Drosophila melanogaster: one gene and its partners. The gene in region 3 interacts genetically with the main gene of each other region. Each region holds a gene or a part of one and is shown on either strand. Other genes may lie near its edges.

The links.
Region 1: of Rab7 (region 3) and EndoB, changing one suppresses a phenotype caused by changing the other (phenotypic suppression), as found in Drosophila melanogaster (one study listed by BioGRID).
Region 2: of Rab7 (region 3) and l(2)gd1, changing one suppresses a phenotype caused by changing the other (phenotypic suppression), as found in Drosophila melanogaster (one study listed by BioGRID).

The regions. Positions count from the first base shown.
Region 1 is NT_033778.4:19,309,020-19,312,772, forward strand, and holds the start of EndoB (endophilin B), read right to left. Parts: upstream 1,647-3,753; 5' UTR 1,534-1,646; coding exon 1,456-1,533; intron 1,295-1,455; coding exon 797-1,294; intron 680-796; coding exon 644-679; intron 565-643; coding exon 374-564; intron 213-373; coding exon of another isoform or gene 8-212; intron 1-7. Other genes in the region: Rgk1 (Rad, Gem/Kir family member 1), read right to left, coding at 3,578-3,695.
Region 2 is NT_033779.5:11,105,088-11,108,840, reverse strand, and holds the start of l(2)gd1 (lethal (2) giant discs 1), read right to left. Parts: upstream 1,899-3,753; 5' UTR 1,777-1,898; coding exon 1,720-1,776; intron 1,633-1,719; coding exon 34-1,632; intron 1-33. Other genes in the region: Reps (RALBP1 associated Eps domain containing), read left to right, coding at 2,628-2,774, 2,830-3,234, 3,317-3,636, 3,705-3,753. UniProt on the Drosophila melanogaster protein: Phosphatidyl inositol monophosphate binding protein involved in endosomal protein sorting through regulation of the endosomal sorting required for transport (ESCRT) pathway.
Region 3 is NT_033777.3:23,991,350-23,995,102, reverse strand, and holds the start of Rab7 (Rab7), read right to left. Parts: upstream 2,096-3,753; 5' UTR 1,963-2,095; intron 1,925-1,962; exon of another isoform or gene 1,827-1,924; intron 1,371-1,826; exon of another isoform or gene 1,284-1,370; intron 1,158-1,283; 5' UTR 1,102-1,157; coding exon 922-1,101; intron 858-921; coding exon 501-857; intron 440-500; coding exon 353-439; 3' UTR 1-352. Other genes in the region: Epp (ecdysteroid phosphate phosphatase), read left to right, coding at 2,307-2,419, 2,565-2,805, 2,861-3,056, 3,228-3,329. UniProt on the Drosophila melanogaster protein: Small GTPase which cycles between active GTP-bound and inactive GDP-bound states. In its active state, binds to a variety of effector proteins playing a key role in the regulation of endo-lysosomal trafficking.

The DNA of each region.
Region 1 (3,753 bases), on a different chromosome or scaffold from region 3:
CCTAAACTGTGGAGACGGCTGTCGTATCGAATTCTATGTGAAAGTCTTCGAGCAGATTCGTAAGCGACTTGTCCAAATCGGGATCTGGATCGCTATCTAGGGCTATCCCCCCTAATGAATCGGAATCACAAGAATGCATCGACACCGAGCTGGGAGGCCCACAATCAACGTCTTCGCTATTGATACGCAGGCGTGGCTTGGGATGCTGCATTCTGTAAGACCACAAGCAGATATCATAACGCACAGTGAGACCACCAGAAGGGACCACGGGTTTCATCAAGGATGGGACATGGTGTTTTGGTGTGCAAGAAAAGATTCGTTTGGTGCCTACGTGGAAGTCACAGTCATTCTCTATCGATCGCCTACTACTTACTTGGCCAGTTCACGCTGCAGCTGCTCCATGACATCGCCGCACTGCTTGTAGTAGCGCACTTGCGTCTGGATGAAGGCGTGCAAGTGGCGCAAATGAGATGCCTGCGATGTGCTGATCCCGTCCAGCAGCAGCTTGGTAATCTCCGCCTGCCGGTCGAACTCGGCCTGAGCCACCCGCAAGTCCCGTTCCGCCTAGAAAAAATCGCAATTAGAAATTGGCTCATTGATTAGCCATAAATCTAGAGCACGAGCTCGGTCAAGGTTTTGATACCTGTTCCAAGACGGCCTCTGGCGAGATGCCATCTTTCTAAAAATTCCGGGCAGCAGAGGGCAGAAAAAGACCGTGAGTGAAAAAGCCATTACGAAACCCAATCAATCATACCCCCTTGCAATAAGGAAACCCCATCAAATCCCACCCACTTACCGATTGCTGACCCAGCATGCTGCGCGCTTTCTTCACCCTGTTCTTGCAGGCGTCCAGATCCAGGCGCTTGGTCTCCAGGATGCCTCGCTCCTTGCCAATTGTCTTCATTTCGCCGTCTAGGAACTTGCGCAACGGCTGTGTAAAGCAAATGCCCGAGGTGGCTATAAAGTCGTGCTCGCACTGGCCCAGTTTCTGTTCCGCTTGGCCGACCTTGATCAGAGCCTGACCATAGGGTAAATCCTGCCCGAAATCGCCCCCAGCCTCGATCATGTCCAGAGCCAGGTGCTCTAGGTTGCTCAACCTTTTTGGCTTCGACTTTTCAATCTTCTCGAAGATGAAGTCTTCGACCCGGTTCTGAGGATTGGGTATCAGCACCGACTCTGTGTCGCGCACTATCTTCTCCGTCCATGTCTTGGTCACATCAGCCCGCTCGGCGAGATTCTGGAAGTGCAAGTCGTACTCGGTGCGCTCCGTGGTGCCCAGTTTCTCCTCCGTGAGCTGAAAAGGTCATTGAAAACAATGGAGAGCCGTTGAAAAGGGCAAAGAAACAACGAAAGTGCTTGAGATTGGTTTGGGGTACATCTGTCATTTGCCCAACCACCGAAAGTTCACCACCACCCGCTTTTTTTTCAGCCACCCAAATTCATTGATTTGTTCACCTGCACCACTCGTGATATTGTGCTGCCCGCCTCCTTCACCAGGTTCTTCACATTGAAATTCGGCAGATTTATATTCATTTTTGCCGAGAGGTTCGCTAATTAACACTGCCGTTGATAAAGTTTAAATTTAAATTCCGCTACACAGCCCAATTTGTTTGTATTTATTTCCTCTACTTCGTAGTGTGACCCATTGTTTCTCCCAGGAATATACCAAATATACCGAAGAATTCCAACTGGAACAGAGTTCTAATTGGAAATACTACTATTGAGTAAAATGTAAAATTGTATTAATTTTTAATTTATCATAGCTTTTTCTTCTTTATTCTTCATGTAAATGGTGAAACGAAATTTACTTCTATTAAACAAATGCCACGACATCAAAGTAGATAACAATTAAGCTGTCTGTTAGCAAATACATACCTACATACTATGTAAGCTAACAGTTTCGGTAAATCAAGTGTGGTGAGTATCTATATAGTAACGAAAGCTACTATGGCAAGCTTTAAAAAATGTGAACGTTTGTACAATATAACATAGTCAATTAATCATGATATGGATGAAAATCATTTTTCAACATTTAAACTAATTTTTACTTACCCTGCTTGCAGACCGTGCACCTTGTAATTAAACCCCCAAAATAAAACACGATTTGGAAAACATTTAAATTTAACTTTTCACATTTAATACACACTCATTAGACATATATTATCGGAGCGGAAAAATTAAAACATGCATTCAATTGATAACTTTTCACCACTCTGCTGCTTCTTACATTTATGGCTGACTTTCGCTTTTCCTTATACATCATATGACAATCTGTGCAAAATCGAGTGTGCTTTTATCACTTTCCTATATAGTTTTCGGCTCGAATTCATATTCATTCATGTTGAGCGAGAATAATACACAGAGTTCTGGACAAAAATCAATTACAGCTATATGTATATATTTTAACTATCTGTTATAGATCGGATATCTTACACACATGTTAGGATGCACGTATTATTTGGGGGTTTCCTTGAATGTTCCAAATCCGTTAAATTCCATTGTGCTGCAATTGTTGGTGATTATAATACTTAATGGACATTTATAATACATTTAATGGACATCTAGATTGTTATGGAATAGTTGTGTGATTTGCCCTACACTACTAGTGTTCACATTAATAGTTAAAAATCTACAAATTCTCGATCCGACCTCAATATTTGATACAGCAGGTCGCATTGCACACGTTAACAAAATGGTTTTGCTTAGGCTCTTGATTTAGTGGACCATGTGTAAAATCACATATTGCATTAATGTAAAACTACGCTGACATGAACCTAAAAGTAGCCCTTGTGTAAATCTAGTGTTTCTTTCGTATTTCTGCTATCTTTGATTAATTTTGAAATGGTCCCGACTAACTTGAGAAACCTAGGGCGTGCGGATTGTGGGTGCACGATGGGCTTCTTTGTTTAAAAAAATGGTTTTGTTTAACAATTACGGCATAATAATCCCTAGGTCTATTTAAGCAAAATTGCACAATGTGGTTAATATAGTTTCTGGTTTGCAATCGATCAATTATATTATGAACTTTTAATTCAATCAACATTCATGTGAATATTTATGCCATTTTAAAACGAGATTCAATGCCATTACAAATGTATAACTACACGTATATAATTAACAATAAGTTTCATTCGGCGGACAAGCGCCATATCTTCAAAAAATCAGTACAATTGGTATTCATTCGTCCACGAACAAGGGTAAAATATTATTTTCTCATTTTAAAAATTATTGCTTTTTATTTGGATTCCTTTGTATTACGATTTCTTTCAATCAAAAATATAACTAATTTATTCCAGTCGCCGTATTACAACGAGCATTCAAAATTATCCCAACTCATGCTTAGAGGAAAACGAAAGAGCATAAAAAACCAATTACAAATAATAGTTTTATATTTAGACAAACTATATACAATGATTAATGGAGGAAGTGACTAGCGTAAATTAAGACTAAAATTATACACAATATGTACAGTTGGGAATAATACCCCCGGTAGTAGTCGAGTCTGTTTCTTCTTTAACTTAGGATCTTGCATACTCTATAGGAAACTTGTGGGTTACACTTTGGATAATCTCTGTGCTTAGAGTACATGCAGATTCTCGCAGCTCTTCGACTTGGAGTCCCGAGTCCACACGCGGCCCAAAAGTCCCTTGACTTTCAGGCTGGTGGAGGTCCTTGATCCACGGTATTTGCGGGGACTGCAAAAGAGTAGGGTGCATCAGCATTACTGCCTGATTCTGATGGCCTGTCGGCGTG
Region 2 (3,753 bases), on a different chromosome or scaffold from region 3:
CCATACAAGAAGAAGATGTAATGCAAAACTTACAGTGCTGAGGTCCACTGGCAATCCACTACTCGCTGCATTAAGAAGGGAATCGAATCCCTTGAAGATCTTGAGGTACTCCTTCGCCTGATCTATTTCTCCCGCTTTTTTGGCCTCTATAGCAGCTAGCTTAAACTCCTTTTGGCGCTCGAGGAGCAGTTTCATTTGTTGCTCGGCAATATTATTCTTCTGCTGATTGCCAGACGTGCGTGTTGTTAACTCTTTGGGCTTAGGAGGTGAAGGTGCTTTTCGAGGAGCTGTAGGTGTCGTCGCACTGGAACTGGAGGGTGTTCCTCCTGCGGAAGTACTTGCTGTTGGCGGTGGAGATGTAGGCGAAGTGGGCAGCGACGGTGTCGGCGCGACAGGAGCAGCATCAGCCGTAGGCAGCGGTCCAAAACCTGGTGGCACAGGCAGCTCATCGTAAGGCACTGGTTTGCCTGCCTTGTACAACTTTATGGCATCTTCGTATTGCTTCACAATCCTTCCAAAGCGTCTTGCTTTTCCGCTATTGTTTTCTGCCTTGGCTGCCGCTTCTACAGATTGATATTTCTCTAAACGTTGCTGCAGAGCCTCCAACATATTTGTTGCAGCTGCTAGAACAGGAGCAGGAGCAACAGGTGTGGGTTCTGGGGCAGCAGTAGGTTCTGCGACAGCTTCTGCGGCTGCTTCTTCTTGCATTTTTTTAAGGAATTCAAGAAACTCAGCTGGTGGAGGGGGCATGTCACTCAAATCAACTTCCTGTCCGTCTTCACACATTTTTATAACTACGTCAAATTGCTTGACCACTTTGAGAAACTGAAGGGCAGTAGATATGTCACCACTGCGCTTAGATTGCAGTGCAGCAGCTTTGTAGTCCGTCTGGCGGCTGCGCATTTGCGTCACAAGAGGATTAGGGGGAGATGTGGGAGCCACAGATGTAGTGGGCTCCACGGGGGTGCCGGGGGTTGGTGGATCTGGAGCTGCACGACTAGGCACAGGCGGAGGGGAAGCAGGTGTGGAAGGAGCTGGTGACTCCTCTGCAGGCACTGGAGGAGCCTGCCCGCCAATTGGCTTTACACTGACTTCAGGTGGAATGTCATCCACGTTAATGGACTTGCCAGCCGCTGCCTGCCTGTGCAGATCTTTCAGAGTCTTAAGGCCTCTTCCAAATCGCCTTGCTTTGCCAGAATCGCCGGCAGTCTTGGCATTGGCCTCGGCCTGCTTGTACATTTCCAGGCGCTGTTTGATAATGCTTAATGTGTCCACAGTCGTCGTGGGCAGAAAGGTCTGGACGGGTTCCTCAGAGGCAGCTGGCGGTTGTGCGACAGGCTCCTCTTCCTCTGCCTCCTCTAGACCACCGATTCCGCTCAGCTCGCCAAGAAGATCCGGATCGCTTTCCAAATTGTCATCATCATCATCGTCGCTGACATCACGCAAGCTGTCGGCTATCATTTTGTCCAAATCACTGGCGGGTAACAGCTTTGCTTTGGGCTTGGGCTTTGGCTTGGCTCCTTCTCCGCCGGTTATGGCCGCAAGCTCTGCCTCCAAATCACTGTCACCCCCATCGTCCTCACCATATCCAGCGCTGGGATCAAAATCATCTGGGATTTCCGTAAGACCGAACTAAACACAAAAAACAAAAAAGACAGTCCAAACGATGAGTCATAATTAATAAATAGACGGATCTAGACTGTTTGTTTTTCCTCTCACCTGCGATAAATCGTGTTGCCTTCTTTTCGCTGGCTCTGGCTTCTTTCTGGAGAACATCCTTGATTGCACAGAGGCTGTTTATTAACTAAAATAAGTCTATAAAGACTTTCAAATCCTTTAAATTTTTGCGTCGCAACAGTTCAGCCGCAGACAACAATAACAGAGTGGGGATCACTGTGGTGCAACGAAAGGTGACGCAGGAAAGTCTTTGCGAATTGGTGACGTCAGTGGCACAGGGCTACAGGAAATTTGTTGACGGTTAAAAAAATATCGTTAAAAATAATGAAGAAATGATTTTTTCTTCATTCAGCAACATTAAATTTTATTATAGTTTAATCCATAATGAAATATAAATGAACATGGTAAGCCACCTTACAAAACATCAATCCTGCGGAACTAAACTTTTGCCGGTAACTAGGGCTGCGAAACGCTAACAGGTACAGGGCTGCCGCGCCAGCTGTCTAATCGAATCGATACCGCAACCTATCGATATCGAGAGCCAGCGCACACACAGTGCAAAAGAGTTTGCGAAAAAAAACCTGGACAAAAAGCCAAATTGATTGTGCGCCGAGCAGCTTGAGGCACTAGGTGTACCCTCGTCGACCAGTGCCGTGAATCCTCTAACCATCGTGGTTGTGGTGGCACCAAGAAGTTAGCGAAACCATCGTCCCCGCAGTTCTCCCAGCTTCCACCTCCTCCAACTCCGTCTTGGGGGCCAAAGGCAGAAAATCATCAGACTTCTGGTTGTGAGCAGCGCGGGGCAGCGGGGTCGGCACTGGCCTGCTGGGTTAAACGTGGAAGTAAACAAACGAATTGGATTCCGGGTCCAGGACGGACGAACGGGGCGTGGCTCGTTAACCAGCGGCTTGGTAAACGAAACCAGAGACGGCAACAAGTAGGCGACAGGCATGGACGTGTCCCTCACTGAGCCGGAGACGCGCTTCTACAGTGAGTTGTTCCAATGCTGCGACGTGGAGAAGACAGGCAAGGTGCCCATGCTTAAGGCCACCGAGCTCTTTCGCTCGGCGGACATCGCCAATGAGACCGTGATTGAGGTAGGTCCAATTTGTGTGATCGTGAGTGATTAATTATCTGGGTCTGGGCTTATAGATCACCGGTCTGGCGGGGATACCCTCCACGGCGCTACACATCTCGCGGACACAGTTCTACTCATGCCTGAAGCTAATCGCTGCTCATCAGGCGGCCATGCCCCTGCGCCAGGAGCTGATCTTGGCCACGTTTCCGCTTCCATTACCGCACTTTAGCTGGAAGGAGGCGGTTACAGCTCCGGTGGCTGTCGAAAATGGATTGACTGCCTTGCCACCGCCACCACCCACAGATCGCAGAAATTCACTGCGTCGTAACTCGCAGCAAGAGCAGCTGCAAGACACCTCTGATGTGCCCAGCACCGACTCCGAGGTTGAGCAAAACGAATCAGTGGACGATGCGACAGGCCATGGACGAGGTACGGATGGCTGTGGGGTCGTCAGCAGCAGCAGCCGCGAAAATGTCGGGGTTTGTACTTCTATCTTATCTTGTGACATTTGTAAATAAGCTTACCATTGACCGATCCCCGTCCATGCCTTATCTCTTTTAGCGACGACGAGGAGGCGGTACTGGTGGTGGATCGCCAGAAGCCTGGAGCACTAACAGTGACAGCCCCACGCCCACCAACAGCGTGGCTGAGCGGCCTTGGGCGCAGGACACCCTCTGGCAGGGTTTGCTGGGCGACGAGCATCGCCAGCTGCTAGGCACGGAGGAAGAGTCTTCCGATCGCCACAGCAGCGACGACGATGACAACGAGAGCGAATTGGTGACCATTTACCAGATAACCCCGGAACAGCGCGAGTACTATAATAAGCAGTTCAGGACGGTGCAAAGGGATCCGCATGGTCTGCTTTCGGGCCAAGCAGCAAGGTAAGTTGGCTTTAGGAACGTTTATAACTTTATTCTTCTTATTATTTTCTTATTCCTTTTTTTATTAGAAACTTTTTTGAAAAGAGCCGCATTCCTGTGGAGGAGCTACGTCACATT
Region 3 (3,753 bases):
AATAGTACTAGGGAGATAGGCGGGCGGTCGGTCAGAAACATGAATTATTAAATACGAGTACACAGAGCATACTTATTCATTGAACGGTTACTTAGGTCGTAGGAAAGTGGGTATACTGGTTAAGCCTTTGCCAGAGGCTCGTTAAGACTCAGCTGATGTTGATCTGAATCTGAACTTTGCATCCTATCAGTTAATTAATTACTATGCTGTTTTGCTGAAATTGTTTTACTTAATCATATAACACCTTCCTCTATCGTCCTTTGTGTTGCTTGCTTCTCATGTTCATTATTATGTTGGAAATATTATTTAATAATATAGATTGTGTAATTATCCATTTTGCGTTGTTGTTACATTAGCACTGACAGTTGTCAGGATTGCCAGGACGATTGTTTTGCGAGCCCAAGGTAATCTGATCGGGGAAATCGTTGATAACTTCAGCCTGTGTGAAAGTACAAAGTTCGATTTAGTATGGAAAACAATATTTAAATAGGATTTCTTACCTCCGCCTCCAACTCTAACGCATTCTTGGCTATAACTTGAAACGCCATCTCCACGTTGATGCCCTCCTTGGCGGACGTTTCGTAGTAGGGTATATCGTTCTTAGATTGGCACCATTGCTGCGCTCGACGCGTGGACACCTGGCGGTTGTCCAAATCCACCTTATTGCCCAACACAACGAAGGGGAAGTGATCGGGATCCCGTGGACTGGCCTGTATGAGGAACTCGTCGCGCCAGGAGTCGAGATTCTTGAACGAGTTGGGCGCCGTCACATCGTAGACAAGCACGCAGCAGTCGGCTCCGCGGTAAAACGCCACTCCAAGCGACTGGAAGCGTTCCTGACCAGCAGTGTCCCAGATCTGTTATTGAAATTTTGCGAGTTATGTCACTGAAATAGGATTACTGGAAGTTCATAGTGCTTACCTGCATTGTGACCACTCGGTCGTTGACCACCACCTCTTTCGTGCAGAAATCAGCTCCGATCGTGGCTTTGTATTGGTTGGAGAAGCGTTTGTTTACATACTGATTCATCAGAGAGGTCTTGCCCACACTGCTGTCGCCCAGAATGATGACTTTCAGTAGGGATTTCTTACGTCCGGACATTTCGATGCAGTTTGTGGCGTTGGCTTACTCGGGGTTATTTCTTTTGGTATTTGGTGCTGAAAACCACAGAATATTATTGATTGTGTGTTAAAAATACCATTGCGGTTTCCTCTAATTCGATTAGGAAGTGTAGGGGTGTGATGGTTTCTTTCCTAAGATAAATGAAAGTGAACTGCGCAAACCTCTAGAGTCTAAACTACATGCCAATGAAAGCCGTAATCTCTGCCAGGACCTGACTGCCTAAGTGCTCGAAGTGCAAGCCATTCGCAGCTGTAAAATGTTTGTAATGACGAGCAGTTGTGCTACGCCGTGCTGGGTGATAAACAAATCGGGTGAGTCACTCTGAGCAATCCGCAGTGTGTGATCGCTGGACTGTGTGAACAGGCGGTCAGTAGGGGAGGGAGGTGCCCGCATCGAGGCGATAAAGCGTGATCACTATTGGCGCAGCGGAGAAAGTGCGCTGAGTACAGACAAAGACGAGGTCGAGCTAATAAAGCGGGTCTGGAATACCAGGAAAAGTGCCTGGGAAAACGCCCATTTCCTCAAAGTCCTCGATGGCAGGGGGAGTCACTATGGTGCAATCGAAAATAGTGCGAAAGTGGACTCTCCAAAGGGAGATAAACTCCCCGCCCCCCTTTTTTAGACCATGAACAACTTGTTTTTGTGCTCCACCATTACAACTACGCCACTAATTGCGTCGGTGTGCGTGGGTCTTTGTTGTGTACGTTTTTCGAGTGTGCGTGTGTATGTTTGATGTGGGGCTCCACTGGCATTTTCCATGCACTTTTCGCCTGCTGCGTAACACTCTTTTTAACGCTTTGCTTTTGCTATTCGCCTAATTCCTTTTGTAGTGGCACTCACTTTGAACACTGGTGAACACTCCAAGAGCTGTTTCTTTGTGGGGCGCTTCGGTTTTACTAAAAAATATTCAATTAATTACGCAGTGAATTTTGTTGTTGTCTCGCTAGGAGAATCGCTCTCATCTCTACTGGTCAGTACTGGTTATCGATAGTGCAGTCGTGTTACAGCTATCGGTAGAAGTTGACTATCTTTAGGCTGTCGTTAGCCAACACTTTTTTGTGGCCAATTAACGAATTGTATCCTATTTTTGTTGAAATTATCACTGAAAAATATTGAACAGCCAGGAAAAACCAAAAGCTGCTAAACGGTGGTCACCTGGGCTTACATAGGAGGCTATAATCGAAATGGCCACGCTTCCGCCGCGTAAGAGTCAGACCCCTACGAGGATCTGCATCTCTAAGCAGCATCTGACGCCGCTCCAAACATTGCTCCAAATGGGGTTTCCCAGGCATAGAGCGTGAGTTTTCTATGCATAGCGTATTGGCAGTCACCAGCTGCTCTAGGTTCCATCCAAGATATAGTGGCTATGCGTGCGAGTGACCCACTATGTTGATTTGTTTCATAGAATCAGAGTATTGATTTTTTTGCTTACCCCTACACAGGGAGAAAGCTTTGGCTTCAACTGGTAATCGTGGTGTCCAGATTGCCTCGGATTGGTTGCTGGCACATGTCAACGATGGCACCCTGGACGAGTGCGCCCCCAGGGAATATATTATATATGCTTGTCCCACGGGTCCGTTTCTGCAGCAGCTGGAGGAGTTCTGGGCCAAGTCGCGCCAAATGTGCGGTTGGAATGGAGCACACAACTACGTGCCTCACATAACCCTGGTTTCGTTTTTTAAAGTGAGCTTAAGTTGGATTATCCAGACTTTATTTATTCACCTAATCGAAATTACAGGCCCCCGATGAGTGCTCGCTGCAGCTGTCCAAGGCGCTCAAACAGGTGGTGGACATGACGGGCGCCTTGTTGGATCGCCCCCTTAAACTGGAGCCCTACATGAGTCAAAACTTCATGGGTTTTTTCGTGGCCGAGGAGGATGCCAACTATCTGAAACGACTGGCCCTGCAGTACGTGAAGGAGGTGTCCAACTCAAGTACGAATTATCCTTCTGTTGGTTGCACTCTCTTTGGGTTGTTTTGGTTTACCTTTCTCACGTTCTGTTCGATTCGGTTGATGGTTTTCCATTTTTCGGAGTGGCTTACACGGTTATGTTGTTCTCCTCTCTTCCTGCACACTTCTGGATAATCTGGGATATGCTGCACAGTCATTAGCGATACCTATGAGCAGTTGGACGCCATTGTGGCCTGCTTTCCCTGGTGCGGTGCTGTCTCCTCGGGCACCCGCTGCATTCCGCGCAGCAGTCGATGTAAGCCATTAGCTAGAGCCATTAGTTTGCATAAAATCGTTTTTGATTCACCCAAAAGTACACTTTCTTATCACTCTATGCATGCTTTAGTTGCACTGGTAGATAAGTTACTAATCTAATCGCCCTTTTGGCGAAATTCAACATGACGCTGCTAATTGTAGTTAATTAGTAGTAACTGTAGATAGCAAGGTGATCGATGTTTTTGGTAGCTACATAGTTAATTTGTTTATACCCCGTTTCATTTGTTTGAAAAATATTTCAGTTTATTATTAAAACCGATTAGTGTCACTATATATACAAAAAATCTTTGATTATTAGAAGACCAGAACTGTAGTTGATAAGCCCGTGACGTTTGGTTTTGCCCAAAGATAACTTTAAGTGACTATAATTCCTTATCGAAAAACATCGATTCACCGTGTTAGAT